Linked DNA regions of Oryctolagus cuniculus. The protein of the gene in region 3 purifies or fractionates together with the protein of the main gene of each other region. This does not show direct contact. Links are inferred from orthologs where the notes say so. Each region holds a gene or a part of one and is shown on either strand. Other genes may lie near its edges.

Evidence for each region. Proteins that work in one complex are often made in the same cells at the same time.
Region 1: the proteins of CD84 (region 3) and SH2D1A purify together in Homo sapiens (affinity purification with western blotting; 4 studies listed by BioGRID and IntAct, with this or other methods). This does not show direct contact. The link is inferred for Oryctolagus cuniculus from reciprocal best matches to the Homo sapiens genes CD84 and SH2D1A.
Region 2: the proteins of CD84 (region 3) and SH2D1B purify together in Homo sapiens (affinity purification with western blotting; 3 studies listed by BioGRID and IntAct, with this or other methods). This does not show direct contact. The link is inferred for Oryctolagus cuniculus from reciprocal best matches to the Homo sapiens genes CD84 and SH2D1B.

The regions. Positions count from the first base shown.
Region 1 is NC_091453.1:102,152,136-102,162,361, forward strand, and holds the end of SH2D1A (SH2 domain-containing protein 1A), read left to right. Parts: intron 1-4,098; coding exon 4,099-4,231; intron 4,232-5,614; coding exon 5,615-5,655; 3' UTR 5,656-7,362; downstream 7,363-10,226.
Region 2 is NC_091438.1:36,330,351-36,340,576, forward strand, and holds part of SH2D1B (SH2 domain-containing protein 1B), read left to right. Parts: intron 1-3,768; coding exon 3,769-3,832; intron 3,833-5,990; coding exon of another isoform or gene 5,991-6,087; intron 6,088-7,167; coding exon 7,168-7,327; intron 7,328-8,905; coding exon of another isoform or gene 8,906-8,943; exon of another isoform or gene 8,944-9,020; coding exon 9,021-9,079; 3' UTR 9,080-10,226. UniProt on the Homo sapiens protein: Cytoplasmic adapter regulating receptors of the signaling lymphocytic activation molecule (SLAM) family such as CD84, SLAMF1, LY9 and CD244. In SLAM signaling seems to cooperate with SH2D1A/SAP.
Region 3 is NC_091438.1:38,327,887-38,338,640, reverse strand, and holds the start of CD84 (SLAM family member 5), read right to left. Parts: upstream 5,991-10,754; 5' UTR 5,892-5,990; coding exon 5,846-5,891; intron 1-5,845. Other genes in the region: heterogeneous nuclear ribonucleoproteins A2/B1, read left to right, coding at 7,236-8,294. UniProt on the Homo sapiens protein: Self-ligand receptor of the signaling lymphocytic activation molecule (SLAM) family.

The sequences.
Region 1 (10,226 bases), on a different chromosome or scaffold from region 3:
TGCTGTCAAGTGCTAAGTTATCTAACATGGGAAATAAGAAAAGGGAGTGTTTTCCCAAGTATTAGGGTAACTGATGATGCTGTACGTGAGGATATATGGAATAGAGAGCTGTGCTCGTTATAATCCTGGGGTTCTTCTACCTGGAGGACTTGGGACTACCTGGGGGCTTGCAGGGCTAGAGGAGGTAAGTGGGAGTGCTTCTGGTATCTACTTTGGTTTTGATTTGAGTTCCTTTTTTATTTTTGCTTATAACTCAGGGGATCCGAATAAGATTTCATTAGAAAAAAGGGTTCTTATGGCTTTGAAAAGATTTGAAAGCCACTAGATGATTGCAAGAAAAGTCTGTAGAGTGAATCCATTTCCATGGACCACGACAGTGCATTATATCACATCTTACCAGTCATAAAGGCTCTACAACTGGAGGCTTCAACCTCAAATGCTTTCTCTGCTTTCTGCCTCTGTATAACAGTCTCTCTTAAAATTATTCATTATAAGCTTTTGAAAATTTAAATGCTAATTTCAACCTCTATTAATACCTCAATCATGCTATGCATTTAAGAAACTCTAAAGTCTAGACCCAAAAAATCAAAATAGCTCTGAGCTTTAAAAATTCGTAAATAAACTGGAAAGTACAAATTACAGACTATAAACATTTTGAACTACTGAGATGAATTAGGGCAAGTTTTTAAACACATTACTGCTTTATATCAGGATAATTAATATTTTAATACTAAAGGAAAATCAGTAACATTTCTAATCAAAACTACACCTGTTTATTTCTTTAAATTCTCTATCACTGCAGAGATGATTAAAGTTATCATCAAGAGTGGTTATGTGTAATAACAGAAACACACACACACACGCACACACACATTTGTATGATTTGACCAGAAATAGCACTTCTCCTTAGATAAGTACCCTTCATCTGCTGAAGAAAATTCTTTATGGAAAGGATATTAAATTCTTAAGGCTTTAACAACCTTATTTTTTCTTTCCTCCATTTCGAGTATAACATTATATGAATTTTGATACATGCTTGTGATCATGTTAAAGAGGAGAGAGGGCTTATTGCACATAAATGCCCCCTCATGCCCTCGTCTGATCTAACCTTATTTATATAATAATATTGTAATTATCTGCACCAAGAGAGCAGAAGATTGGCATGGATTGTTACCAAATAGAAAACAGTTTAAAAATTCTTTAATTGTTGAAATTCATATTGCATTTTTCCTATCTGCCAAATTGGCCTTCTAAGTTATGGTTTGCTAATGTGAATATTAAACTTATGTGTATTCTCAGAGCTCGTACCACCTGACTGGAAGAGATTTCTCTAGAGCATATTGAAGACCAGCTAGGAGCCAACACATATTTCCATGAATAACCAAGAGGTGACAGTAGGAGAAATGTGCACATTTGAACAATAGCTGAGCTCAGTGACAGGATAGGAGCTGTCAGTGATACAATTCTTGTGGTAAATGCTTTTTCAAAATTGGGTAAATGATAGATATTTATACTAGTTTTTTTTGTAACAACTTTTTAATTTGCCACACTGCAGGAAAAATCATAAGAGTAGTACTCTAATCTCTGTCTAAAGATTATGCATAACATCTGGGAAAGGCTGAGATTTGTTTTAAAATTGAATATTGGATCCACTGAATTATGAAAAATGTTACATATTCTTAGATTATTGCATAGTGTATTAAGTTATCCCATGTGACTCAAGTTAAAATTTTACTAGATTTTTTTTAAAAGATTTACCTATTTGATAGGCAGAGTTACAGAGAGAGAGACAGAGAGGTCTTTCATTTCCTTGTTCATTCCCCAGAGCTGGGCTGATCTGAAGCCAGGAGCTTGTTCTGGGTCTCCCATGTGGGTGCAGGGGTCCAGGCACTTGAATCATATTCCACTGCTTTCTCAGGCCATTACCAGGGAGCTGAATGGGAAGTGGGGTAGCGAGGACTCAAACCGATGCCCATATGGCATGCCAGAGCCACAGGTGGAAGCTCAACCTACTACGCCAAAGTGATGGCCCCCTAAAACTTTACTAAATTTTTAGAGGATTATACACATAGTCAGCTATCCTTTATTAACATGTGCATTGGTTTTACATTGTATAAAATGTACTGGCCGCCCCTTGCTGACCCAGCCTGTGTTTTTTTTTTATATTTGATCATCAGATCAGTAGATGCTAAATAATTTTACTTATTAACCTAAGCAAAATGCTATAAATTCAGTCACTCATTTGCCAATGAGAGATTGCATCCCAAATCTGAATTGCTTCTGTACAGCTGGAGCTATTATTCCTCTCTGTTGGCATGGATAATTAAGTGTTAACTGGATATCAGTACCCAGAAAAATAATCCTTCTCTTGATAAATGGTTTTTTACAAGCCACAAGGACAGTCAAAAGATATGTGGTTTGCCTTCTTTTGACACTGAGGGGGTGTATGATTTCTCTTCTAGTTAGTGATTGTAGCTTCGTTAGCCCCTGTTTGGTTTAGTCCTAATCTGAAAGGCAAGAAACTGTGTCCAAAGATCCAGAGCCAGTTCTGCCTGCGGTTGTCTACATGAATGACCTTGGGCAAGCCGATTAATTTCTTTGTGTTTACATTTTCTCATCTGTCAAAATGGAAATAATTGAATCCACCGACAACTGCCAATCTGTGAGGAAATAGAGGCAGGGGATGGGAAACTGCCTTGAAAATTAAAAAAGTATGCTAAGGAAATTGTAAGAAAGTATTTTTGTGGCCATGGCCTGCATTTGCAAATTTGGAGGTGTTACCTTGGAGGCAAAGAATTGTCTTGACCTCCGAAAGAAAGGCTATCTTATTCTGGATGAAGTCTCAATGGAGTTTTAGGCAGGGGTTTGGATCATTGTGGAGTTCGGTGGGAGAGGGTTTTATGTCTACTGAGAGTGTATGGTGCACAATAGATGAGGGCTAAAACAAACTTTTGTAATGTTTTCAGTGAAAAATCACCCCAGTGTAAGACATGATCAGAGTTACTATGGAGAGTGTGTGAACTCCTGTGAGCGCTGGCGGACAGAAGTCTGTATCCTGGCCTTCGTGGTTTCTCATTAGATGCTAAAAACCAAACAGCTTCCCCCTCAAAAATCTTCCAGATGGAATAGCTGAAAAACAACTTTGTTAAAAAAACAAAAACTAGCCATTGTTGAATGGCTCATAGCAATACTATTTTATTTCCTGTGAAATGACAGTTCCGAGCTACTGCCTAAAGCATGGCTCACAAGCTTTTGCAGGAAATAGTTGTTGATTTCAGGCACTGTCTTTGCAAGAGAACTGATGTCAGGAAAGGAACGCATTTTAATAATTGCCTGCAAACACCGCTCTCTTTAAAAAGAAACAAACATATAAACCTGACCTTTATAGAGTCTTCTATTCTCATGTCATGGAGAAAGCATTGTCACAGTGCAGTACTGACGGAGACAGCCATTTTGGGGAGAACAAGGAAGTTTCCCAAGGAGGAAACAATTTCATGTGAAGGATGAAGCTGGACATATTTTCAGGCTAAAGAGTATGAGGGCTAACTACCCATGTGCTTCATGTATTGCAATAGTCAAGTTTTAATTTCTTGCACAGTATTTTATATCATGGAGCTATGACAGGGCGGATGGGCTGTAGGGGTTTTTTTGGGGGGGGGAGGTTGATTCCTCAGGTTTTTTGTTAATGACCTGTAGTGTATGTGTGCTTTTGTGTGTGTGTGTGTGTGTGTGTGTGTGTGTGTTTCCCTTCATTCCCTGTTCGTGAATTCATTGTGGGTAATGGCCTGTAGACCCTTAGAGGTTCAGGATGTATGATGGGTAGCAGGCAGGAAGGGCAGAGCGAGGAGCAAGAGCTTGTACAAACTAATACCACCCTTGGGAGAGCTTAAATGACAGCTCATTAGCTCCCCTTGTAGGGAAGTTCAGCCAACCAAAGTAAGCTCTTTCGGAATGTTGTTTTTCTTTCCTCCTTATGTTTTCAAATATTTAAACACGTTACACAAATGTTACCTCTCTAAGCCCCACTTGCACATTTTTTAGGCCTTTTTGTATCCATATGAGATAAATAAATAATTTGCTTGGCCTTTTATTTTTCAGACAGCACCTGGGGTACATAAACGATTTTTCCGGAAAATAAAAAATCTCATTTCAGCATTTCAGAAGCCAGATCAAGGCATTGTAATACCTCTGCAATATCCAGTTGAGAAGTCCTCAGCCCGAAGTACACAAGGTACTACAGATTTGGGTTTACTATTATTTTTTGACAGGGCTTGGAAGTTCAGGGTTATGTATTAACCTATTTATAACAATACAATCACTTAGAAGTTCTTCAGGAAAGATGCAATGAGAAAGTAGAGGTAGCTGGAAGATCAAGTGAGTGGTAATTATGTGCTATAGTTTCAACATGCTATACTACAAACTTTTAATAAAGCTGTGCAAAAATGTCAACAATTCTGTAAACCCACTACATTTTAATCCCTATTGTTCCATTTTATTCTCCTCAGTCCCTTTGTAGGTATGTAAGTCCTATTTCACTTTACTAATTCAGACACTAGCAATTTGAAAGATGGGATACTTCAGGGAATATCTCGGCTGTTCTTTACCTTTGCTTAGTAAACTTTTTTTTCCCCTTCAGGGATATAAAGGCTAATGTTACTTGGTCTATGTGATCCTGATGTCTGAATTGGTACTGCTTAATTAATGAAATTTTATTGTGGTAAAGAAAATTAAATTAGTGGACTTTATTATTCCACTGGCACAAACTGCTATAACTCCTGAGCAAAGCTATTTTAGCTTGTATGTCAGGCTAAAATGAATACCTGCAGATGCCTGTAATGGTCTGAAACGTGACTGTATGCCTCTATTGAAAGGGGTAAATCATAGCCGGTGCTGCGGCTCACTAGGCTAATCCTCTGCCTGTGGCGCTGGCACCCCTGGTTCTAGTCTTGGTTGGGGCGCCGGATTCTGTCCCGGTTGCTCCTTTTCCAGTCCAGCTCTCTGCTGTGGCCCGGGAGTGCAGTGGAGGATGGCCCAAGTGCTTGGGCCCTGCACCCGCATGGGAGACCAGAAGGAAGCATCTGGCTCCTGGCTTCAGATCGGTGCGGTGCGCCAGCTGTAGCAGCCATTTGGGGGGTGAACCGATGAAAGGAAGACCTTTCTCTCTCTCTCTCTCTCTCTCACTGTCTAACTCTGCCTGTCAAAAAAAAAAAAAAAAAAGAAAGGGGTAAATCATTTGTTTGGAGTAAGAGGATATGCCTTGATTGAAACAATAAATATTTATGATAAAAGAAAATGAATCATTATGTCCTTTTAATTTTTTGACAGGGACTCAGGCATAAACTGACAATTAGACTCAAGTGGCAAATTAAATTAATGAATACTTAGCCTTAATAATGGAAATATAAATAGAACTCTAATTGGCTAATTGTTCTCTTCTGCCCAGTATTCCATTCTTCAAAACTCAGTTTTAAATAATAGTTGCTTAAGGTGTATCATCGTGTTATATTGTTGTAAATTTTATACAGTAGGAAATTTGATTATACATTTGAGTTAACTTATGCTGTAAATAGTTTGAATGCTTATCTTTTCTTGAGTTTTGTTATTACTTTTTTAGGGAGAAGAGAAGATCCTGATGTATGCCTGAAAGCACCATGAAGAAAAAGAAAACACCTTGTACTTTATTCAGTAATTTAAATATATGCTAAGTCTTATATATTGTAGATAATACAGTTCAGTGAGCTACAAATGCATTTCTAAAACCATCATAGTCCTCTAATGGAAGCATCTAGCCTGATGTTCAAGCTGAGATGGGCTTTGTAGATAATGAAGAGCTTTGAAATGGGGATTGGAAAAAAAATAATTCCCTAGGTTATCTTCAGTTATTGTATTTACAAATGGGAAACAATTTAAAGCACAATGAATACTTTATAAGAGATTGATATCAATTCTTGCCAAATACAAATAAAAATAATACTCAGTTTTTGTCAAAAGCACCATTTTTAGTGAAATATTATTTGAGAGTTACCGATTTGAAATTGTTTCGCTTTGACTGTATGGAGGGATGTTGGTTAGTAGCCTTCATCTTTGGCATATGCAGTTCTCCATTAGCTATGGTGTCATAGGCTCTTTTGGGATTCATGAAGCTGTGTACTGTTTGCTAAAGTAAGGACTAGAGAAATAGCAAAGCGTTTCTGTTTAATTCTGAAAGCCACCTTCTTGCCTAGTGTTCTGATGTAGTACAGTAATCATCTACATACTAATGTGGAGTTGAAAATCCCACAATTAAAAATATGCTCTAAATATTGACTATATTTGATGCTCCGGGATTTAAACTTACAAATCCGGTGAAGTGTACTTTTCATCTTTTAGTTTGCCTCTGTGCAGGTTGTTTCCACTACACGTGAAACCTGATTTAAAGGGCAACCTCAGCAGCTGCAGGTCTTCCAGTAAGTCATGCGGAAGCACCTCCCTCTTAGGTATCCCTAGAAGCCCATTGGAAAGCTTACGGTTACATTAACTTTTAACAATTCCAAGTGATTGAAAGCTAAGTGAGAGTCTGAATTTTATGCAGTATTTTCTTTTCACATTTGTATTTGCATGACTTGAGTGATTGATTTTATGTTGGGTTGCTTCAGGGCTCATTGAATTGCTTCAGCCAACAAACATAAGAGGGCACGGGGCGGTGGGTAGAGAAATAAAAACACTTGATCCCTGTCCTTGGATAGCTCACTGTCTAGTTGCACAAGAAAACAACAATAAAGGTGGATAAATACATGATAAGTGAGATTCCCCATGTGTAGGTAGGTCTGCCTTTAGAGGCAGAATGAAGTAACAAATACTGTGGTTTCTGGTCTACTGGAAAAGGCTGAGCTTTATTGTGAACTAATCAATTGGGGTTCCAGGTTGTACATGCGTGTTGGTGGGCTTGGTTAATAATTAATGGACTGCTGAGAGACAGTACTACTCCCCATGTGCTGTCAAGGTCCGATTTGTGAACACTGAACATCGACGCTGTGGGAGTGCACAAGGTGGAGTACAGTCACGATAAGGTATAGGGCATGGTTTGCTATTTCTTGAATTAAGAGCATCACTTTAAATTGTAAAGGATTCCAGAAAGCCTACTTTCTAGACAAAAATGCATGTGTTTCTTATTTTTTAATTATTTGAAGCTTGAGTTTAAGTTATAAAATGTGTAGCTAATTTTTACTCTTGAATGTGCTCATTCTGGATTAATCCTAAACACATGAATCATGTTTGCATGTGCTTTTATGAGAGCTTTTTTTTTTTTTTGAAAACAGCTATCTTGAATCATTTATGGTCTTCCACATTTTAATAAAGTGTTTGAAAGCTTCATTTACCTAATTTGTCTTAAAATACTCCTTTTGAAAATATGCAGAGCAGAGGCTATTAATAAAGGAAATAAAGCACTGATGAAGGCCATCTTACTTATCTTATTGAACAGCTTCCCTGGAAAGGTAAGTGCTTCTCTGATTGTGCTATTGTCAGATTTGCCAGCTGATGAGCCCACCCCCTGTCTTCTTCGGCTGGCCTTTTATTCATCAACTTTTTTTCCCTCACTTTTTCTTTCCCAACATGCACAACTTGCTGTTTCCCAGTACATAATAGCTTGCACCTTTATAGAGAGGTCATATCCTTGCCATATCTAAAACATTGCCATGCTAACCTATACCTGTAAGATGCTGAGTCAAGATAGAAAAATGCACATGTATTTCCAAGCCTACACCTCTCTTTGGAGAAAAAAAGTGTGTCAGCAGGCCCACCAGGAGCATGACAGCTTATCAAATACTTGTTCATTTCCTCTGAAATTTGCTCTCACGAGATAAGGTGAGTGAGGACAAGCTTAGGTAATTGTCTGTTTGGCTGTTACAGACAGGGAACCTTTGTTCATAGGTAGAATGGTGCATATGTAGAATAAGTCTACAGAGAATGCCTTTGATTAAGTCCTCCGGTGTAAATAAAAGGCTGAATTTAAGATATTCTTTGGTAGAATAGATGGAAAATTAAAATGTGAGAACTAGCTATAAAATCTGTTAAGAATGTTATAACATCGGCGTATATTTTATTTGATTCACTTTATTGAGTTCAGAATCCAAAGTCTATTAACAATAAAATACAGATTTGCCCTTAAGCACGTCAAGGTTATAAGATGCCTAGTCTTCTTGTTAGGATGCTATAAATTCAACTTTACCACCTATGTTTGCCCTTGTAGTAAATGGGTTACCATCACCTTGCACTGTGTGGCTAGAAGTGAAGTGAAACTACTCACTGTGAACACTTTCATAATTTGGAGTCTTGGCCAAACTTGTAGTAAAAGGCTGAATTCTTACCAATAGGTTTATAAATGAAGACTTTTTTTTAACGTAGTAAGATGTAACAAGCCTGATGAACAGGATAAAGCTTATCAACCTAACATATATGTCTTGATTGCATATATACATACACATGCAAACACACAGAAATTGAACTGTTCTCTCACAAGACAGCAAAAGGCAATAGCATATTCAATACTGGACAGAGAGCGTAAAAGCAGGAATGCATGAGACCTGAATTCTCTTTCCAGCTTTGTCATAGATTATCTATGTGACCTTAAGTATGTCAGGCTCTGAGGAATATGCCAGCCAAATAGGAATAATGTATCCTCACAGATTATTAAAGAACTGCAATTATAAAACTTTAAAGTAGTAACATTGATAAATGTTTAATAGCATTGATATTCAAAGATTTTTAAAAGGGAAAGTGAATAGAGAAGAAATGCGGAAAAATCTCTCATTTCCTGTAATGATTCTGTCAGTGTAGGACCTCTTGTCTTTTTTTAAAAATACTGAGGGTGGGGTGAGCTGCACATTTTGGAGAAGAAATTCCCAGGTGATACTAACACCCTAGTCTCCCCCCACACGCCCTGCTGTTTTGGATGATGGGTTATGTTGAGACAATCAAGGGTGTTGTCAGCTCCATGACTCTCCTCACTGTACCTGTATATCCCTGTATCACTGAAGAACACAGCAGGAGGGCGCTGTGAAGTGGTATAAATTCTAGCATTCCAATCAAATTTCAGCTAGGGGCTCTCGGGATTACATGTGTCCCCCTAGTAGCAGGTTAAAATGTTGAAGATCTGTTTGCTGGCTTTCCGGCATCACTTGTAAATACAACTTCATGTGGAAAATAACTCCCATGGTGACTGTAATTGCCTGGGATGCGGGGTCTTACAATGACTGTTGTTTTTATTCATCTTTCGTGGTTGCCCCTCTCAACGTCTTTTTTTCTTTTTCTTTTTGCTCATGTATTTGGGTGCCCTGGTCTCCTAGCTCTCCCTTATCCCTCTTTTATGATTTTTAAAAAATTTCCTTTCTATTGCTAAGAAGGCAGCAGGAGGCACTGAACCCTTTGGAAAAGTCATAGCCTAGAGGCCTTTACACTTCCAGCAGCTACTCTTCTTTGTTTATTAAACGGTCATTTGTGTCCGAGATCATATTTACATGAGACATCAAAATGAAGAGCCGTCTACCTGGGATCAGGGCCTCTCTGCAGCTACGTTTTCAAAATGACATGGTTTCATTGTTCCCTGTTAGGGAGCCACTCACTTTTCCTATCTCGGGTGACCAGGCTGACTTAAAAATGCAGTTTGGCGCATGAATAAAATGGGACACCATTTTCATTTGCAATTTTATTTTTTAAAAATGAAATATTCAAAGTACTTTTCTTTCAAATATCGACACATAATGTTTTACTTTAAATATTTACAGCATGTTGTTGTGATGCTCTTGTAGAAAAATGCATGCTTCTGGCCTGAAAGCCAGAGCAAAATGCAAAAGACCATTTAACTGCAGCCAGAGAACATGAACCTGTACAGTATCCAGTCACTTTTCAGCACAGGAATGAGAGCAGGAATACAAAATTGGAACCTATTGTTTCCTAGCAACATGGCTCAGGCCATTGTAACACAATTTCAGTATGATTAGAACCTCTAACTGTTGTTATATAGAAACTGAAAATGTTGGCATACACTGTAAACATCTTTACTTTTCATGAGAAAGTAAGCAGCTAAAAAGAATATTTTTCTGACAAAAAGGCTATACTTCTCTTTCTCTCTCTCTCTCTCTCTCTCTCCCTCTCTCCCCCTCCTTCTCTCTTACTGATACTTTCACCTGAAGAATAGTAAAGATTTAGACATTGTCATGATTCATACAAGTAAAATATTTTCAAGG
Region 2 (10,226 bases), about 2.0 Mb from region 3:
ACTGGGGAGGCCAAGATGCACGGGGCCGCAGGGTCGGCGTCTGGTTCCAAGGAGGTGCCTTGTGTCTCAGTCCTCCCCTGACAGAGTGGATGAAGGGACGGGAGGCTCCCTTAACCCCATTCCACAGAGGAGACTTAATCAGGTCCCAGAAGGCCCCACCCCCTAATATTGCCATAGTGGGGATTAAGCTTCACCATGGACCTTGAAGAAACACAAACACTCCAACCATAGTATCATGGGAAATGGGTACGACCTCACCGCTCCATTATCTCTTAGGGTGTTTCGCCATGAACGTTCCAAAACACATCTAGGCACTGTAAGCTCAATAAATCAATTTCTTGTAAAATCTTGTTATAATGGGGCTTGTGACTTTTTTATATTTTTTGAAAAATAGACCATTTTTTGAGAAATACTATCATTTTAGCCTGAAGTATGTGGCTTTTAGGCTAATTAACATAGACCTCCATGTGTCTTATTCTTCCATGGCCCTCTCCTGAGGCTTTTCCTGGGCTGATAATTCAACAATGTAATTAAATTAAATTCATTTACTTGAGGATTTAACATAGGTTCTGTGATCCTCAGGTTTCAAAAACAAACCATAGCTGGCACCGCAGCTCACTAGGCTAATCCTCCCCCTTGTGGTGCCGGCACACCGGGTTCTAGTCCCGATCGGGGCGCCAGATTCTGTCCTGGTTGCCCCTCTTCCAGGCCAGTTCTCTGCTGTGGCCCGGGAGTGCAGTGGAGGATGGCCCAAGTGCTTGGGCCCTGCACCCCATGGGAGACCAGGATAAGTACCTGGCTCCTGCCATTGGATCAGCGCGGTGCGCCAGCCGCGACGGCCATTGGAGGGTGAACCAATGGCAAAGGAAGACCTTTCTCTCTGTTTCTCTCTCTCACTGTCCACTCTGTCTGTCAAAAAAATAAATAAATAAAAATAAATAAATAAAAAAAAAACCCAGCCAACCAACCTATGTAATGGAGGAAATGCAGCGTGTGGACCTTGTTTGCATTTGAATTTGAATACCTTGTGAAAAGCCATTTTAGGGATCTCTTCCCAAGCTGGAGTCCTTTAATTGTCTTATGTGCACAAAGACACCTATAAAGCATTTTTGCTGCTTGCCATTTGCTTTGAGGAAATTGATTGGTTTATCCTGGCTTTAAGAAACCCCACAAGGGGCCAGAGCCGTGGCTCACTAGGTTAATCCTCCGCCTGCAGCACCAGCACCCAATATGGGCTCCGGGTTCTAGTCCCAGTTGCTCCTCTTTCAGTCCCAGCTCTCTGCTGTTGCCCGGGGTGGGGGTGGGGGGCTGTGGAGGATGGCCCAAGTGCTTGGGCCCCCTGCACCCACATGGGAGACCAGGAAGAAGCACCTGGCTCCTGGCTTCAGATTGGCATAGTGATGGCCATAGCAGCCACTTGGGGAGTGAACCAACAGAAGGAAGACTTTTCTCTCTGTCTCTCTCTCACTGTCTATAACTCTACCTGTCAAAAAAAAAAAAAAAAAAAAAAAACCCACAAAGGATTGAAATTTAAAGTCAGTTGCCAACATCTCCAAATAATTAGTGATGAATTCTCCTAAATGGTGTTGGCTGTATCCTAAAGCTGAAAGTAGCTCCCTGGCTCACTTATTAATCTTTTCACTCTTTAACATAGATGCGAGGAGGGAAAAGACTCACCCTATAGTGTGAATCTCATGTCAATGTCTTTGGTTTCGTCTTTTTACATTGTAATGTCGTACCTGAGCAAGTGTAAACAAAGGAGCATCACACACTGATAAAATTCGATGGTCCTTATTGCCGGCGGTGGAGAGTGGGCTCATGCCCTAAAGAACTCTCGACCCTGAAGCCCAAAGCAACAGGGTTATAAAGGCAAAAACCACAAAATCGGGAGGGGAATACATGGTTGCTAGGATCGGGGGGAGTACATGGTTACTGGTGGGGTCAAGCTGAGCTAAAACCTATGAGAAACTAGTATCAATTATAATCTTGACAATACCAGTTACAATCTTAACAATTCCAATTATAATCTTGACATTAATCCAGGTATTGGTTTTAATCATATGTAAGACATAGACAAATTACATTTTTATTATTAACCCAGGTGCAGCCTATCCACTTCCAAGCTTGAGCGATCATGTTAGGGGGTTTCTATGCTCTTCCAAGTGTGATGTAGTGGGCTGCTCTTGTTCAAATGTTTTAGATCATAGTTTCAGACCAGAGTCTCGGGGGGGGGGGGGCACCTTCCCAGAATGGAGTCTCAAGTGCTCCAAAATGGAGTCCCTACTGTCAAGGTGTTACTTCAGTAATATTTATGTGAAATCAGAACCTGTACAGGAGTCCATGGAGATGTTTAATGCATAATTTTTCTCCTGGAAGAGCTTTATTAATTAATAAATTAATAATGTCTCTTACCATAGATGACATCTTGGAGTTAAAGAATTATAGTAGTTTATGCTATTTCTTTTTTTTTTTAAAGAATTATTTATTTGATTGCTTCTCAGCCTTTTAGCTAAGATCAAGTGTAAGAATTATTTATTTGAAAGTCAGAGTTACACAGACAGAGAAGGAGTGGCAGAGAGAGAGAGAGAGAGAGAGAGAGATGTCTTCCATCTGCTAGAGGCAGAGAGAGAGAAGTCTTCAATCTGATTGGTTCACTCCCCAACTGGCTGCAACAGCCGGAGCTGTGACGATCCGAAGCCAGGAGCCAAGAGCTTCCTCTGGGTCTCCCACACACATACAGGGGCCCAAGGACTTAGACCATCTTCCACTGCTTTCCCACATGCATTAGCAGAAAGCTGGATCAGAAGTGGAGCAGCCAGGACTCGAACCGGCACCCATATGGGATGCCAGCACTGCAAGTAGCAGCTTAACCCACTACGCCACAGCACCAGCCCATTTATGCTATTTCTTGCTTTGAGTTGCAAGATTGGGTCTATTATCTAATGCATGATTGGATTATTTAGCCAATGGCTGCTTTTCTAATGAGGAATGAGTGTACAGTAAATCAGTTCATCAGCCTAAACTCCCAGTATTCTCTCCATGAACAGCACTATCTCTGATGAACCAGTGACAAGACATTCAATGAGCAGCATGACTCACCCATGTTCTGCATGTTCGATCAACTTCTATCTTAGTGAAAATAACAGAGAGAAGTACCAAGACCGTGGGAGGTGTAAAATCTCTCTTCTTATCCTCTTTGCTAGCATCCAGACCTCCATATCAGAATAAGGGTCCCCATTTCTTTATTTTTTTTTATTATTTTTTTGACAGGCAGAGTGGACAGTGAGAGAGAGAGAGAGAGAGAAAAGTCTTCCTTTGCCGTTGGTTCACCCTCCAATGGCCGCTGTGGCCATGCGCCGGGCGCACGGCGCTGATTTGAAGGCAGGAGCCAGGTGCTTCTCCTGGTCTCCCATGGGGTGCAGGGCCCAAGCACTTGGGTCATCCTCCACTGCACTCTCGGGCCACAGCAGAGAGTTGGCCTGGAAGAGGGGCAACCAGGACAGAATCTGGCGCCCTGACCAGGACTAGAACCTGGTGTGCTGGCGCTGCAGGTGGAGAATTAGCCTATTGAGCTGCGGTGCCGGCCTGAGGGTCCCCATTTCAAAATCTAGCTCATTAAAACTCCCACGGATGGAAGGGCCTGAAGATGGTCACTTTTCGTTTTTGGAATCCAAGATTGACAGAGGCAGTGAGTAGACAACACAGTAGGACAAGTTACCTGGATTTGGATATAAGAACGTTGTGATTCACACAGTCTTATTTTCACAGGTTTAAAAACTTTGTCTACACATACCGAATCTTCAGAGAGAAACATGGGTATTACAAGATAAAGGTAAGAACTATAAGGACTCCTGCAACAGCTAAAAGGTGGGAGAGAAGAATCTGAGATCGTCTCCTGAACCTAGAAAGTGACCACATACAGACATAGTAAAAGGGAAGTGCCATGTAGCACCAAGACTCAGAACAAGGGTTAAGCTTGTCTTTCTATGAGACAGAAGATTACTGGAATTACGGCCGCTTTTACCCTGGCTATTACTCAAACGTGTGGAGGCACACAACTCTGGCTCCTCCAGCAGCCAGATGCACTCACCCGGACTCCATGCGAAACCATTATTGAATTTGGAAGCTAAACAATGAAGCAGGATAGGAAGGGAAGGTGGGGACAGTCTGAAGGTTTTGGAAATCAAGTGTATTCCAGTTATACAGAAATATAAAGGAGATCATCAAACAACCGGAAGGATTTGATTCATTTTTCTACCGGAAGCTAAGCAGAAAAATCTTTTTGTTTCTTTTGAATTTAGTTATCTGGTTTAAGAAGTAAAATATAATAAATGTAAACATTTTAAATTACTTATAGAAAATACTAAAATAATCTTTCTGAAACACTTCCATAAGAAGTTCATTAGATTTTTTTACAAGATTTCTCTGAGACTTCAATATGCTGATGGGCATTGTGAATATTTGCAAGCAACCGGAATGAACAAGGCTACCCAGACAACGTATTTGCATCTATAATGTTTCTTTTTCCATATATCTGGGGGATATTATTGAAACAATCAGCAAAATTCTGAAATGATCAGCAAACACAGGTTGAGCATCTCCCAAACCTGAAAATCTAAAATCTGAAATGTTCTGAGATCTAAAATGTTTTGAGCATGGCTATAACACAATTGGAGAAGTTTCCAATTTGTTTCACCCATAGAATTATTTAAAACGTTATATAAAGTTACCTTCAGGCTATGTGCATAAGAAACATAAATAAACTCTGTTCAGACTTGGGCCTCATCCGCAAGATGAGGTATTCCAAAATCCCAGTGCATCTCAAATCTGAAACACTTCTGGTCCCGAGCATTTTGAATTGAGGATACTGAACCTGGGGTACTGCAGCAAGGCTGATTCCTGGTTTGAACCACTGCAGTATGGTTATAGAACGTTCTTACATTTTTTTGGAAATACTAAAGTATTTAGGGCGAAAGGGATATTTTTCCTGCAATTTAAAACTCAAGAAGTGTTTTTAAAAGGCTACACACCTGGGTATATGTACATTTATCATTTTTGTGTGTGTGTGTGTGTGTGTATGCTTATAAAGCGAGAATAAAATTATAATAAAGAGAATAAACATTTGGGTTGTGAGTAAAGAATCTATATAGGTTTTTACAATTTTTTTTTAAAAGAGATTTGTTTATTTGAAAGACAGAGAGGGAGGTTTCCATCCAGTGCTTCACTCCCCAAATGCCAACCAGATCCAGGGCTGAGCCAGGGGCCAGGAACTCCATCCTGGACCCCCAAGAGGAGAGTACCTGGGCCATCTTCCCATGTACCTAAGACAGCTTCCACTGCCTTCCCAGGTGCGTAGGCAGGGAACATTAGCAGAGTCGATAGGACTGGATTCAACCCTCCAATACGGGATGCTGGCATCACAAGCGACAGCTTAACCCACTGTGCTACAACTCCCGCTCCTTCACTCTTTCTGCAAGTTCTCTACATCTGAAATTGTCTCACAATAACAGATCTTGTAAAGAGCAAGGGATTTGCCGGCGCTGCGGCTCACTAGGCTAATCCTCCGCCTTGCGGCGCCGGCACACCAGGTTCTAGTCCCGGTCGGGGCGCCGGATTCTGTCCCGGTTGCCCCTCTTCCAGGCCAGCTCTCTGCTGTGGCCAGGGTGTGCAGTGGAGGATGGCCCAAGTACTTGGGCCTTGCATCCCATGGGAGACCAGGAGAAGCACCTGGCTCCTGCCATCGGATCAGCGCGGTGCGCTGGCCGCAGCACGCCAGCCGTGGCAGCCATTGGAGGGTGAACCAACAGCAAAGGAAGACCTTTCTCTCTGTCTCTCTCTCTCACTGTCCACTCTGCCTGTAAAAAAAAAAAAAAAAAAAAAAAAAGGGCAAGGGATTTCAAAACGCTTTCTCTTTGCTGTGCTTCTTTTGGGAAATTCTGGATAATCCCTCAATGCCCTGTTTTGTCTCTGACCTGGAAAACACGGAGCAGATCCCAATCAACGACAACTCAGACGCAAAGAGCTGTTTCTTCAAAGGGCAACTGCACTGTGGCCAGAGGTCTGCGGCGGATGATGCTCTGGGTTCAAGTGAGTGCATTCAGGGGACTTTCCTGCAGCAGCCACAGTGTCAATCTCCATGTCAGTCATGTCAGTCTAGAGGTTAACCAGACCGCATGCCAGAAACTGCTGCTCTCCGTGGCCCAGCCCGGTGGCTGCCGGAGAACCACAGTGCATAATCAAGAAAACCAAACACATAAGAGCAGAGAAAGCCAGTTCTTTTTGTTTTTAGGTTATTTCTATGAGGTCTTATTACAAAATAGTCCTGGATGAACAGCTGGTAAGCAGCATACCACCATTTCCAATTTAACTGAGTTGTGGTGATGTTCGCCGTTTCAGTTTCAATTGGGGCTTTGTTTGCCTGCAGATTCTGAATTGATCCAGCAGGTAAGTCACACACGTCCCTTTCCCACCAGAAGCCAACCTCTGTTCATTCCCTCAGGCAGCAAAGCTTGCCAACAAGGCCCAGGGTCTGGCAGTGTGTCTACACCAAGAGCGGCCCTACATCCACTTGCCATGCAGACTGCAAACCCAGCCAGGGATCCACTGGCTGGAAACCCTCTTTTCTCAGAGTAGTTCTAGTCAGAGGTCAGTCTTGAAAGCAAGGACTCCATGGCCAGCACTGCGGCTCACTAGGCTAATCCTCCTCCTGCAGTGACGGTACCCTGGGTTCTAGTCCCGGTTGGGGTGCCAGATTCTGTCCCGATTGCTCCTCTTCCAGTCCAGCTCTCTGTTGTGGTCTGGGAAGGCAGTGAAGGATGGCCCAGGTGCTTGAGCCCTGCACCCACATGAGAGACCAGGAAGAAGCACCTGGCTCCTGGTTTTGGATCGGCACAGCGCTGGCCGTAGCGGCCATTTGGGGAATGAACCAACGGAAGGAAGACCTTTCTCTCTGTCTCTCTCTCTCTCTCTTACTGTCTAACTCTGGCTGTAAAAAAAAAAAAAAAAAAAAAAAAAAAGGCAAGGACTCCTGTAAACTGCAGCTGGTATGAACTGCTAGCCACTCTGTCAGCTCCGTGTGGCATCCTTGAAAGTCACTGTTTTGAGAAGTGTTAGGTTTCGCACACACTTGCACTAGGATAAGCGGTCTCCTTTCTTGTACTTTTGCAGACTGCAGAAGGGACTCCAAAACAGGTCTTTCCAAGCCTAAAGGAATTGATCTCAAAATTTGAAAAACCGAATCAAGGTCTGGTGGTTCAGCTTTTAAAACCAATCCGGAGAAGAAGCTTCAACAAGAAAAGATCAAAACCAGAGTTGGATGCTATTTATGGTAAAAGCTTTCATTCAGGGTCAGGAAGGAGCTTTAACCCCACTTCCACCAACAGCTTGCTTTGTAGAATCAATGCAAAACAAATACCGTTTTCTGTGCCACTATCTCTGAAAAGCTTCAACCTGCTAAGAGCAATTTCTGTTGAGTTGAGAAATGAGGTCTTCTAGGCCCTGAAGGTGGCAGGTCACAGAGCTTTCTGTCCTTGGACAGCCCGGATAGCAGGAGTGCTCACTTCGAATTCATTCTGTAACCTTGTGTCAACAATTAGCCTTTGGCAATTAATGGACAAGTAGACAGATATGCAAATAGGAGGAAGCACTTTCAGGCTTTCCCAAGGTTCATCCTGTTACCTTTTGATCAACATTTGCTAAGCATTCATGTATAAAGTGCTAGATGACAAATTACCTCAGATACATCTCTAAAGGTGGTAAGTCTTGGTGGAGGATGAGAGACAGCCAGGAAACCTGAGTACAGAAAATCCGTAGTGAGGACCCCCAAATCACATCGCAAGTAGCGATTCTTTCTTCCTCATATTCTTGGAATCTTCTCTCAGAAGAGAAACTAGGATGTGTCATTTGCAACACAGTCTGAATTTAATGCAGACTTCCAGAGGCATGTATGTGTAATTCTGTTTTCTCATGGTGAACTGTATGGTTACCTGCTCAATGTGTTCCCAGTCACCAGTGGGCAGGTAATGATGATGAGAGCAGATGGTCTAGCTAACAAGGACAGAGGACAGAGAGTTATCGAGGAGTTTGCAATCATCCCAAACCTATTCTACTCTGTCTTCGCCAAAGTCACCCTTCAGGCTGCCACAGTGAGCTTCTCACCTCCCTAACATGAGTAAGCATGGGGTTTTAACAGTTAAAACAAAAGCCCTTCCCAATCCTTGTTTCTCTGTCCCTGCTCTTGCCAGTGCAGAGGTTAGTGCACCCATGTATACACAAAATCACTTAGTGTAGGTCCAGCTTCAAATGGAGTCCCATGGCCATTTTCCACCAAAACTTGAAGAACAAGAACCAAAAAAAAGGCAACAGAGTTAGAAATCCAGGCCTGTACCTGTACTGCAACCTTTGGGCTAGCCCAGATGAGCTGATGGCATTGGTGGGGGCTGTTGATGGCATTTGTCTTAGCAATAAGAGCAACACAAACACCCGGAGGCCCCTCAGCGCTCTTGCCTAAGAATTGGATGAGATTCTCAAGCCCAGTTCCCCGCACTGGTCTGCACTGGCAGCCTCAGCTGCAGCAGGGAAATACCCTACCATTGTCCTCATCTCCTTCCCCCTTCCCTTTGCCTCCTTAGAATAAGCGTCAGATGTTCTCCCTCTGAGAGACGCCCAGGTTTTCTGCTGGTGAATGGAGACACCTGGGGTGGAAATTCTAAGGATTCGATTTTAAGAGAATCCCCTATTTTACCAGGAGAGTTCCCTGTGGTACCCCGGCTGCCTCTGAAGATGACACTGTGATGTGGCTTCAAGATGGTGCTGTGTCTGGGGAGATGTCTTCTTTCCTGGAAGGGGTTGGTCAGTGTGGCCCCTGCTGTGGAGTCTCATGGCGTGTCTTATGCTTTCCTCCCAGAAAACAGTGGCCATGATTATGTGCATGTCTTGCCTTGAAGATATGGAGCCTGGACAAAGCAAGTTCAAGAAGAAATGAGGTGGCAGCTCTCATCTGGTGATTCTCTCTCCTGCAGGTGTTAAGTCCAGAATGCCAAGCTCCAGTGGACAATTCAGACTTTCCTGGCCTGGGTAACTGAAGATCTTCTATCTGCCAGCCCCAGAGAAGTCACTCCCCACATCCCTGCTTCCCATGTGTATTCTAAAAGCAGTTTCCAGCCAGCCCCCGCCACCCCATTCACCTCTCTTCCTTGTTGGAATCAGACAACCTGGACCTACTCTCCTTGCCTTGTTAAAGGTCCTACCACTGCTTTGTCACGATTGTTACTCTCCTTCTGACAAGCTGATCAGAGAGGGGTGCACACTTGCCATTGTGATCAGAGCCATGAGTTCAAGCCCTGTGGCTGCCTTACTTTGGAAAAACTTCACCCCTTCTCTAGGTCTTAGTTTCTTCATCTGTAATGCAAATGGTTGGGTGGGATGATGCACACTGCCCCAAACCCCCTGTTGGACCTGGTTGTATTGTGTGAATTTGGGGAAGTTGGGAGTGATGGAAATTTATACAGCATCAATGGGATCAGGATCTCAGCTGTCACCTTCTGCGTAGCTGTCTGTGTTGGTCTTGGTCATGGTGAGGGCCTTGATCCACAACACACACCCATCTCCAGCCAGGTATATTTTCTCTCTAGCTCTGCTCCTTTCTAATCTTGATCTTCTTGCCATCAACCTGGACACACTTTCTTCCTGTTTCTATTCAAGCACCAACCACTTCAGCAGTAGTTGTACAGCATTGTAGTGTAGTTCTGTACAATGATACATACTCCCCCATTTGTGATTTCTCTTCCCTTCGAGGTTCTCAGTGTCATCAAAGCATGATTGGATCTCCCCTGAGCCTTCCACAGCATGTAGAAATATGTGTTGCATACAGACGTGTCTCGTTCCTAGAGACTATCGATTGGAAGCACATCTCTGAAAAGTTTGTTGCATTGGTAAAGCCCCTTCAATTTTTCTACTAGTTCAAAATGGTAATCAAGACCACCTTCATTCTGAATGTACCAAGTTCTATGCCGTTTCTCTTGCCATCTTCAAAACTTAACGGTTCACTTCACTCCACTGGTTTTCCAAGTTTATTGAAGAGAGGAACTCTAAATTTCCAGATAACGTGGACAGGAACTGTGGCTGGGGCCCCAAAGTATGAATAATTTAGAATTCCTGGGTCACAGCAATCCATGGTTACTACAAAGACAAGGAGTGAAATGCCATATTCAGAGAGCTGTGGAAGC
Region 3 (10,754 bases):
ATGCCTCTTACCTAGTAGGTCTCTGGGTCCTCGCCAGTAAATTAGCTAGGGCAGAGCCATCCTGCCACTTCAGAGAGTTATGAGGAGGACTAGTTGAAGGAGCGTACACGTGGGGTGTACATGCTAGTGGGGAGGGACCCTGAGAGTCCCTGGGGAGTCTTGCCTGGAGGTGTGTCCACTGCATGCCCCAGTGTGAAGCACTTTGACTTAGTGATTAAAAATGCAACTTCCTGGGCTTGAGTACTGGCTTTGTCAGGGACTGGCTGTGGGCCTGGAGAGTCAATACACTCTCTATGCCTCAGCGTCCTCAGCTTTAAAATGAACGTCACAGTGGTGACATCATAGATATGTTAGAAGGGTCAAATGAGTTGATATCTGTAAACCTCTTAGAATAGTGCCTAGTATATAGTGGACATTAAATATTTGTCATATAAAGCAAATCAGCAGCTTTATAGAGGTTGAAATAACACCCAGCTGACTCTGAGGTGGAAAAGAAGGGTTGAAGTATTGGGGAGATGTTAGAGATCAGTGTGTTGCTTTGATAAGAAAGGAAATGAGGGGAGATTGCATTGCTTCTTAGCAGACAATTCTATGCCCTTGTTTCATTATAATGCTTCAAATAAGAATTTCTTTTTCTGTTTTGACACCAACTCTATTTCCTTTTTTCATATACTGCCTTCTGGAGTCAGTAAGTTGGGGTGGAGCCTACATGAATATTGCAGGCTTGGGAGGATTATGAGAGGTCATCTGTGTGGCACCAAGAAGAGAACTGGGTCAAACTGAATGGAGGAAAGGAGGAAAAAGAAGCTTAAAGAGAAGTTGTTTTGTGTCATTCTCCATATAGGTAGAAAGTCCTTGGTCACAGTGTAATAAAAAAGGAACTTACCACTCCCATATGATTACATTATTTTAAAGATTTATTTTATTTATTTGAAAGGCAGAGTTACAGAGAGTCAGAGATAGAGATAGATAGGGGAGAGAGAGAGGTCTTCCATTTGCTGGCTCACTCCCCAGGTAGCCACAACAGCCAGAACTGTCCCAGTCCAAAGCAAGGAGCCAGGAGCCTCCTACAGGTCTCTCACGAGGGTGCAGGGGCCCAAGCACTTGAGCCATCTTTCTACTGCTTTCTCAGGTCGTGGCAGAAAGCTGGATTGGAAGTGGAACATCCAGGTCTTGAACTGGCACCCATATGGGATGCTGGCACTACATGCCCCTCCATACAATTATATTCTATTTCCCCCTGAAGCTTTTTATTTTATATCATCTTTATTGAGATCTGGATTGACTTAAATTGGTTGTTTCAAAACAAATAGACATGTGCAAATATACACATACACACATAAAAACCTCAAAACAAATATAAGGTCACAGCCATCCATTGTTTCGTCATTGCTCCCTTCCACTAGCATATAATTGAACACTGAGTTTGATAACAGAAATATGGGTATCTAGACAGTTCCACCAGCATTAGTACTGACTCCCCTAATGATTGCTCATTTCTCTTTCTTTTCCAAATTCTACATTGATGAATCTAGTTAGCCCCAACCTTGCAGATTCATCCCCTCCAATGTCTAAGACAAGAAAGGTTTGATTCTGGAATACCCAAGTGGGCTGAATGGCCTAGAACTCCTGCTGTGAAAGTACTCTGGATGCCTTGCTGGTCACCACAGTGACCTCCAGGGCTGCTTCAGCAAAATGGGCTGGCAAGTTGGGTTTCTGCTTTCTCTTGTGTCATTACAGGATTACTGGGCCACAATGTCCCAGCCTCAATTTGGAAACTGAGTCTAGAGCTGATATCTTTTTTTTTTTTTTGACAGGCAGAGTGGACAGTGAGAGAGAGAGACAGAGAGAAAGGTCTTCCTTTGCTGTTGGTTCACCCTACAATGGCCACCGTGGCCGGCGCACCGCGCTGATCCGATGGCAGGAGCAAGGTACTTATCCTGGTCTCCCATGGGGTGCAGGGCCCAAGCACTTGGGCCATCCTCTACTGCACTCCCTGGCCACAGCAGAGAGCTGGCCTGGAAGAGGGGCAACTGGGACAGAATCCGGAGCCCCAACCGGGACTAGAACCCGGCGTGCCGGAGCCACAAGGCAGAGGATTAGCCTAGTGAGCCGCAGCGCCGGCGAGCTGATATCTTGATATCTAGCTTTCCCCCCTTACACAACAGCTTTCCATTTCTTTATCTGGGCTTCTGCTCTTGAGCCCTTTCAGTGTGTTAGCTCTCTGCTCAAATCTCTTTCTGGAATAGAGGCCTTGTCTTCATCTTGAAGGCCCATCTCTGCAAGGATTTCATACCAGTGACAGGTAGACTCTGTCAGCATCTGGTGTCTAATTTCCAAGGACAGATATCCAAGTGGGCAATTCACCTTTTGGATTTCCAAGTTTTGACTCCTGGAACACCCTATGACTAGTCTACATCCAATTAGACAGCAAGACCATCTTGATATTATGCTTTTTAAAGTAGTTAATTCAGATCAATCCAAATAATACGGGTGTGAATGGTACTTGAACTGTCTGGAGATGGTTACTGCCTAGGTTGTTCTGCCTTTTTGGCCTGCCTAAACTTCTATAATTCACAAGGAGCCGCCTGCCAGACACATCCCCCTCTACAGGGGGTGTACAGACAGGTGCAGATTCTACCCAAATAGTCTTGACAGGAATAAATAAATCATCACTCTTTACTGATAAATTCCCAATTGTGATAACCATCTACAATGGAGACAGTATTTTACTCCATTTCAGCATCAAAGTGGGTGGAGACAGCATCTTGAATTGATTAAGTCTAAGGACCTTGAAGTATAGATCCTACCTCCATCACTTTTTGTATTATCAATGTCTCCATCTGTAAATAAGTGTCCTGATAATACACATCCCCTAGGGTACGGTGAAGACTAGAGATGATAGCCATTGTCTCAATACAGTAGACTGCTTAGAGTAATGCTTGACATGTAGTGATTGTTCCTTACATGGTTGATTACTCTTACTAATGAGAGAGAGGAGAAAGGTGCAAAGGGAAGGAGTTGCAGAAATAACAGCATGAAAGCCATGGAGAAAAGGAAGAATTAACTGTGAAATCTCTGACTTCATGAGGAAGGAATGGGTCAGGTGCAAAGGCAGTGCACTCTTTCATCTTCTATCATCCAAGGGTGAGTGGTTAGGAGGGTAAGTGGAAGTACAGTCAGAGTCAGTGTTCTCCATGTTATGATGATAAATTTGAGATCAGAACATAAGACTGTGAGTCTTGGTGCCCAGAAATAAATTTCCTTATACAGAGGAGTCATGAGTTTCCACACTTGAACTTCCCTTATGCTAATTATTTTAGGGGGAAGTGAGACTTTCTACATTCAGCTCTCCAAATAATTTTAATTGCTTCTGCCGAGAATTCTACAGAGGTGCACAAAATCAGTGTTGACTCTTAAGCCTAGCACTAAAAATGAGGGCTCACCTCTACCAGGAATAGTTGCAGGAGAAATTTAGGATATATTTTTTTGCAATAAGGAAATGTTTGTGGAAAGATACATGAGGCAAAAAGATACATCAGTAAAGGGAAATGATATGGAAGGTACTTCTGACTTTTCTTCTATGAAAGTAAGCCCTGAAGTGAGCATTTGGCCTAGCAGTTAAGACACCTGTGTTTCATAATGTCATGCCTGGGTTTGACTTCCTGGCTGTAGATCCTGACTCCAGTTTACTCACAATACAGACCCTTGGAAGCAGCCTTGATGGCTTAAGTAATTGGGATCCTGCTAACCATATGGGAGACCCAGATTGCATTCCTGGATTCTGGCTTTGGCCATGGATCAGTCTAACTGTTGAGGGCATTTAGGGAGTAAAACAATCGAAGGAAACTCCCTTTCTGTGTGTGTAACTTGTCTCTCTCTCAAAAAAAAAAAAAAAAAAAAAAACAAAAAAAAAAAAAAAAAACCCAAAACAATAAAATAAACCATCAGAAACAAGCCAGCAAAATACAAGTCTCTACTCCCTATTTCATGGGTCCCTGATAAAAGGAATATCTCCCCTGGTTTTCTTTTCCAGTATGCTGTCAGCCCATACTTAAGCTCAAACTCTGACCGCCTTTCCTCCTGCTCACATTGCTTGGGTTGCCCAGTATTTTGATGTTATAAAGCCACAGCTATTCCTAATAATGCATGCAAAGCAAGTGTGAAAAACAATAGAACTAGATAATATTTGTTAAGCAGTTTATGTTCCTGTTCTTTGCCAAGTGCTGTATATGCATTATTATTCTAATCTCAAAATAACCCTACTGTATTAATAGTTTTCCCACTTAGAGATGGAAACAACCAAGTGAGAGAGGTTAGATAACTTTCCTAGGGTCATAAAGCCGATGAGTGTGAATGGTTAGCTACTACCTGAACCCACTGCTTTCATTTCAGTTTCAGTACATGGGGAAGTGACTAGAGCTGCCTTTTGTCTTAACCAGTGCTAGCCCTTGCGGAACATCAGGTATTTTAAAACTTAATGAGTGAGGTCAGGTGTAGCAGAAAGACCTCTAGCTTTGCGATGAGAAGAGTAAAGGTGTGTCTCCAGCTCTACCAATTTCAGGAGGTGAAATTTCAGGAAAAATTTTAAACTTCAGAATCTTAGTTTATTTTTTCTTTACATAATGGAATTAATCACATCTAGCTTTCTATTTTAATGGTTTTCTATAGATAGCAAGAATATAAGCACAAACTCACAGAATACCTTACAAATTAAATGGTATAAAATTCTGTCTAGTCTTTCTCTGAAAGATTAGGGGTATTCCTAGATCCAGTTCATCTCTCCATGTAGCACTTTCAGTCTGCCTCACAAGGGTGACCATCTCACTGGCTCCAGAGCCTTGCCTTAGCTCATGGTTACAAAAACCATGAAGATCAAAATAAAAGGAGCCACAACTTTAAATTGCCAAGGGGACAAGAGGAATCACAGGTATTGTTTCTACCTTTTCAGAAAATCCTAACCCTCTACATTCACTGGCTTCTAACTCATGCCAGAAGTTTTCTACTATATTTCCAGAGTTGGTAAGAGATACCAACTAGATAGAACTAGATTCAGAGACTTCAAACATGGTGAGTTTTTGTCTAACCAGGAAAATTATTTGAATTTGATGAGATAATAATGCCATGCCATCTTAATATTACATAGTTTGTACTAATAACAACCAATATTCATTTTTGTCCTTTATAGTTTGCTACTAAGCCATAAGCAAGAAAAACAAGGGTTTAAAGTTAGTTTAATTTTAATTTAATGCTCCCTACCTCTTTTTTTTTGATAGTTAACTTATTCGTAAAAATGAGATAAAGATCTCTTCAATTTAATTTAGAGAGTTTTTGGGGGGATAAAAGTAGGCTAGTAGCTGGGAATGTGCTTTGAAAATAAACAGAGCTTAGAGATGAGATTTTACAATGATCATGTGATACATCACTCTAACTTAATAGAACAATGAAACACAGTTAGGAAGAAAATATTTCTGAAAAACCATATACTGTACTCTAGTGCCAGAAAGAAATTGCTTTTAGTTATTCAATGTTTTGGATAATGTTTTTGTCAAGCTTGGGGAGTGGGTTTACCAAGTGCTAACCCTTCTTCTGAGAAGATAGTTTTATCTCAGAGCTTTGGAGGTAGCACAGATAAAATTCAGAAATATGAACTCTTACCACTGAAAACCACTTAGGCTTAGGTCTTTAGCTTCTTCCCAGTCAGTTGGTTTTCTTTTGAGTATAAAATATACTGATACTTAGGGCATTACGTTAAAAACATATTAAAGCAACACTTCAGTGTCTTCCCAAATGTAATTTTTAGAACAATGAAAACTAGGAGGGGTTAGCAAAGATCAGAACTCACAGATAGGCAGGCAAAGGAGCAAGATCCATAGGTGGTGCAGAGCCATCTTCTTCTGGGGTCTAAATGTCTGCACCAGAGCGGCTCTGTGCTGGCAGAGACTGTTTTGCTTGAGTTTCTTGCTCCTTTTTATAGCCACGTTTAAGAAAGGAAGTGTGAGCTAACTGATTTAGGAAGACTTGTTTTTTTTATTGCTATGCTAATTTTTTCCAATTAGATAACTTAAAAGGTGCCTTGCCTTAATTAGTATTTGTCCAACAAAATCCAAATATTTATTGAGTACCTACTATGTGGCAGATACTATTCTGGGCACTAGTAAAATAAAGAGTAACACAGTAATTGCTTGACCTCTTTTTGTGGGGCTTATGATCTCTTTGGAAGGATCAACAGTCAAACAGGCAACTCCAATATAGTGTGATAAATGTTGCCATGGGAGAAATACAAGGAGCTATGGGAGTGGCAGGGGCATCTAACCCAGGCTAAAGGGAGCTGCCAAAACCTCCCTGAAGGAACGGACAACTGTGCTGAACAAGACCTAAAGAGTGAGTTAGCATTATTAGGCAAAAGCTGGTGGTAGATAGGAAAGAAGAAAAATGTCTCAACACATGGTAGGAGCTTATTAAGTGGTAGTAATTAATATTATATCATTAACATTACATAAATTGATAGAATTATGTAATTATATAAGATAAATTATAGATTAATTTTATTGTAAGCAAATAGAATGATATATATAATCATTATTATTTCTCCTTATGGAAATTATTTACTATAATTAATATTTAGCATATTAACAACACACAATTATGGTGATATATACCATATATACATATATGGTAATATATACTACGACCTTGTCTAAATATGATCAGAGTTGGTGAACTCAAAAGGCTTCCATAGCCTTGGCAACTCATGACAAGAGCCTAGGGTGATTACTGATGCCATAAACAAGAGTGTCAATTTGTTAAGTCAACAACAGGAGTCACTGTGCACTTACTTACTCCTCATGTAGGATCTCTGTCCTTAATGTGTTGTACATTGTGATTTAATGCTATAACTAGTACTCAAACAGTATTTTTCACTTTGTGTTTCTATGTGGGTGCAAACTGTTGAAATCTTTACTTAATATATGCTAAACTGATCTTCTGTATATAAAGAGAATTGAAAATGAATCTTGCTAGAAAAGCGGCGGCAGCGGCTCCAGCAGCAGCAGCAGTGGCAGCAGCGGCAGCAGCGCCGGGCCCCGGGCGGAGGTGCTCGCAGGCGGTGTTGTTTCTCGAGCTGCGGCAGTGCTCAGCCCGGCGCCAGGACGAGTCCGGCTCGCGTTCGTCCGCGGAGATCTCTCTCATCTCGCTCGGCTGCGGGAAATCGGGCTGAGGCGACTGAGTCCGCGATGGAGAAAACTTTAGAAACTGTTCCTTTGGAGAGGAAAAAGAGAGAAAAGGAACAGTTCCGTAAACTCTTTATTGGGGGCTTAAGCTTTGAAACCACAGAAGAAAGTTTGAGGAACTACTACGAACAATGGGGAAAACTTACAGATTGTGTGGTGATGAGGGATCCTGCAAGCAAAAGATCAAGAGGATTTGGTTTTGTTACTTTCTCATCCATGGCTGAGGTTGATGCTGCCATGGCTGCAAGACCTCACTCAATTGATGGGAGAGTGGTTGAGCCAAAGCGTGCTGTAGCAAGAGAAGAATCTGGAAAACCTGGGGCTCATGTAACTGTGAAGAAGCTGTTTGTTGGTGGAATTAAAGAAGATACTGAGGAACATCACCTTAGAGATTACTTTGAAGAATATGGAAAAATTGATACCATTGAAATAATTACTGATAGGCAGTCTGGGAAGAAAAGAGGCTTTGGCTTTGTTACTTTTGATGACCATGATCCTGTGGATAAAATTGTATTGCAAAAGTACCACACCATCAATGGTCATAATGCAGAAGTAAGAAAGGCTTTGTCTAGACAAGAAATGCAAGAAGTCCAGAGTTCTAGGAGTGGAAGAGGAGGTAACTTTGGTTTTGGAGATTCACGTGGTGGTGGTGGGAATTTTGGACCAGGGCCAGGAAGTAATTTTAGAGGATCTGATGGATATGGAAGTGGACGTGGATTTGGAGATGGCTATAATGGGTATGGAGGAGGACCTGGAGGTGGCAATTTTGGAGGTAGCCCTGGTTATGGAGGAGGAAGAGGAGGATATGGTGGTGGAGGACCTGGATATGGCAACCAGGGTGGGGGCTACGGAGGTGGTTATGACAACTATGGAGGAGGAAATTACGGAAGTGGAAATTATAATGATTTTGGAAATTACAACCAGCAACCCTCTAACTACGGTCCAATGAAGAGTGGAAACTTTGGTGGTAGCAGAAACATGGGGGGACCATATGGTGGAGGAAACTATGGTCCAGGAGGCAGTGGAGGAAGTGGGGGTTATGGTGGGAGGAGCCGATATTGAGCTTCTTCTCTTTGCCTTGGGCTTCACTGTATAAATAGGAGAGGATGAGAGCCCAGAGGTAACAGAACAGCTTCAGGTTATCGAAATAACAAATGTTAAGGAAACTCTTATCTCAGTCATGCATAAATATGCAGTGATATGGCAGAAGACACCAGAGCAGATGCAGAGAGCCATTTTGTGAATGGATTGGATTATTTAATAACATTACCTTACTGTGGAGGAAGGATTGTAAAAAAAAAAATGCCTTTGAGACAGTTTCTTAGCTTTTTAATTGTTGTTTCTTTCTAGTGGTCTTTGTAAGAGTGTAGAAGCATTCCTTTGATAATGTTAAATTTGTAAGTTTCAGGTGACATGTGAAACCTTTTTTAAGATTTTTCTCAAAGTTTTGAAAAGCTATTAGCCAGGATCATGGTGTAATAAGACATAACGTTTTTCCTTTAAAAAAATTTAAGTGCGTGTGTAGAGTTAAGAAGCTGTTGTACATTTATGATTTAATAAAATAAATTCTAAAGAAAAAAAAAAAAGAAAATGAATCTTGATGTGAATGGAAGGGGAGAGGGAGTGGGAAAGGGGAGGGTTGTGAGTGGGAGGGAAGTTATGGGGGGGAAGCCATTGTAATCCATAAGCTGTACTTTGGAAATTTATATTCATTAAACAGAAGTTAAAAAAAAACATACAATTATGGTAATATATAAGATCCAGTATCATATAAATATAGTTATAATATATAAAACATTATAAGTATATGACAGATAACAATATATAATTATATACTTATAAATATGATTACTATTATACTTTTTAGAGATACAATACATTTTTTTAAAGATTTTATTTATTTATTTGAGAGGTGGAGTTACAGACAGTAAGAGGGAGAGACAGAAAAGTTTTCTGTCCATTGGTTACTCCCCAAATGGCTGCAACGGCTGGAGCTGTGCTGATCCGAAGCCAGGAGCCAAGAGCCAGGAGCTTCTTCCAGTCTCCCACATGGGTGAAAGGGCCCAAGGACTTGAGCCATCCTCCACTGCTTTCCCAGGCCATAGAAGAGAGTTGGATTGGAAGAGGTGCAGCTCAGACTAGAACCGATGCCCAGATGGGATGCCGGCGCTGCAGGTGGAGGATTAACTTACTGTGTCACAACGCTGGCCCCAACAAAGTGTATTTTTTAAAAAGATTTATTTATTTACTTGAAAGAGTTATACACAGAGAGAGAGGAGAGGCAGAGAGAGAGAGAGGGAGAGAGAGGTCTTCCACCTGCTGGTTCATTCCCCAGTTGGCTGAAACAGCTGGAACTGTGCTGATCTGAAGCCAGGAGCTAGGAGCCAGGAGCCAGGAGCCAGGAGCTTCTTCCTGGTATCCCACACAGGTGCAGGGGCCCAAAGACTTGGGCCATCCTCTACTGCTTTCCCAGGCTATAGCAGAGAGCTGGATCAGAAGTAGGGCATCTGGGACTCGAACCAGCACCCATATGGGATGCCAGCACTGCAGGCGGCAGCTTTACCTGCTATGTCACAGTGCGGCCCCCACAATACACCTTTGATAAGACTTAAAATCGAAAGGGATTCTTTAGACTATCTACTCTGTTTTGTAGCTGGGGAAACTGTGATTTTTCCCAGGATGACACAGTGAGTTACAGAACTGGGGTAACAGCCAGAGAAGGTTATTTGCTGAAGCCTGCACTACACAGACATGCACAGCAGCAGGTGCAGAGGAAGCACACTCAGGAGGGATTAAGCCAGGTGTAACATGGGACTGTTCTTCAGCAATGGCCCACGTCCCAACCATAAGAGCGAATGCCCTTCTCTGTGCAGGGGTGTGTCATGGGGTGGCGGTGGGAATAAATATTTGGGTCCAGGAGCCAAGAAGTTTGATCTTGGGCCTCATTGTTTTGAGGAGTGCTGGGAAGGCTGGGGACACAGTGCTTGAGTTCTGGGGGTGGGGGTGGGGGTGGGTAGAGTTGTGTACAGCTTTTCTCACTGAGAGGAGATGCTGACTAACTGATTCTAAGCAAACCGATTCTCCGGAACAAGTCTTTAAATAATTCTGTTTAGGGGCCGGCACTGTGGCATAGCAGGTAAAGAGGGCACCTGCAGTTCCACCATCCCATATATGGGCACTAGTTCAAGTCCCGGCTGCTGCAGTTCTGATCCAGCTCTCTGCTATGGCCTGGGAAAGCAGTGGAGGATGGCCCAAGTCCTTGGGTGCCTGCACCTATGTGGGAAGGCCCAGAGGAAGCTCCTGGCTCCTGGCTTCAGATCGGCGCAGCTCTAGCCATTGTGGCCAACTGGGGAGTGAACCAGCGGATGGAAGACCTCTTCTCTGTGCCTCTCCTTCTCTCTCTGTGTGACTCTGACTCTCAAATAAATAAATCAATCTTTCAAAAAAGAACTCTTCAGGCCGGCGCCGCGGCTCACTAGGCTAATCCTCCGCCTAGCGGCGCCGGCACACCGGGTTCTAGTC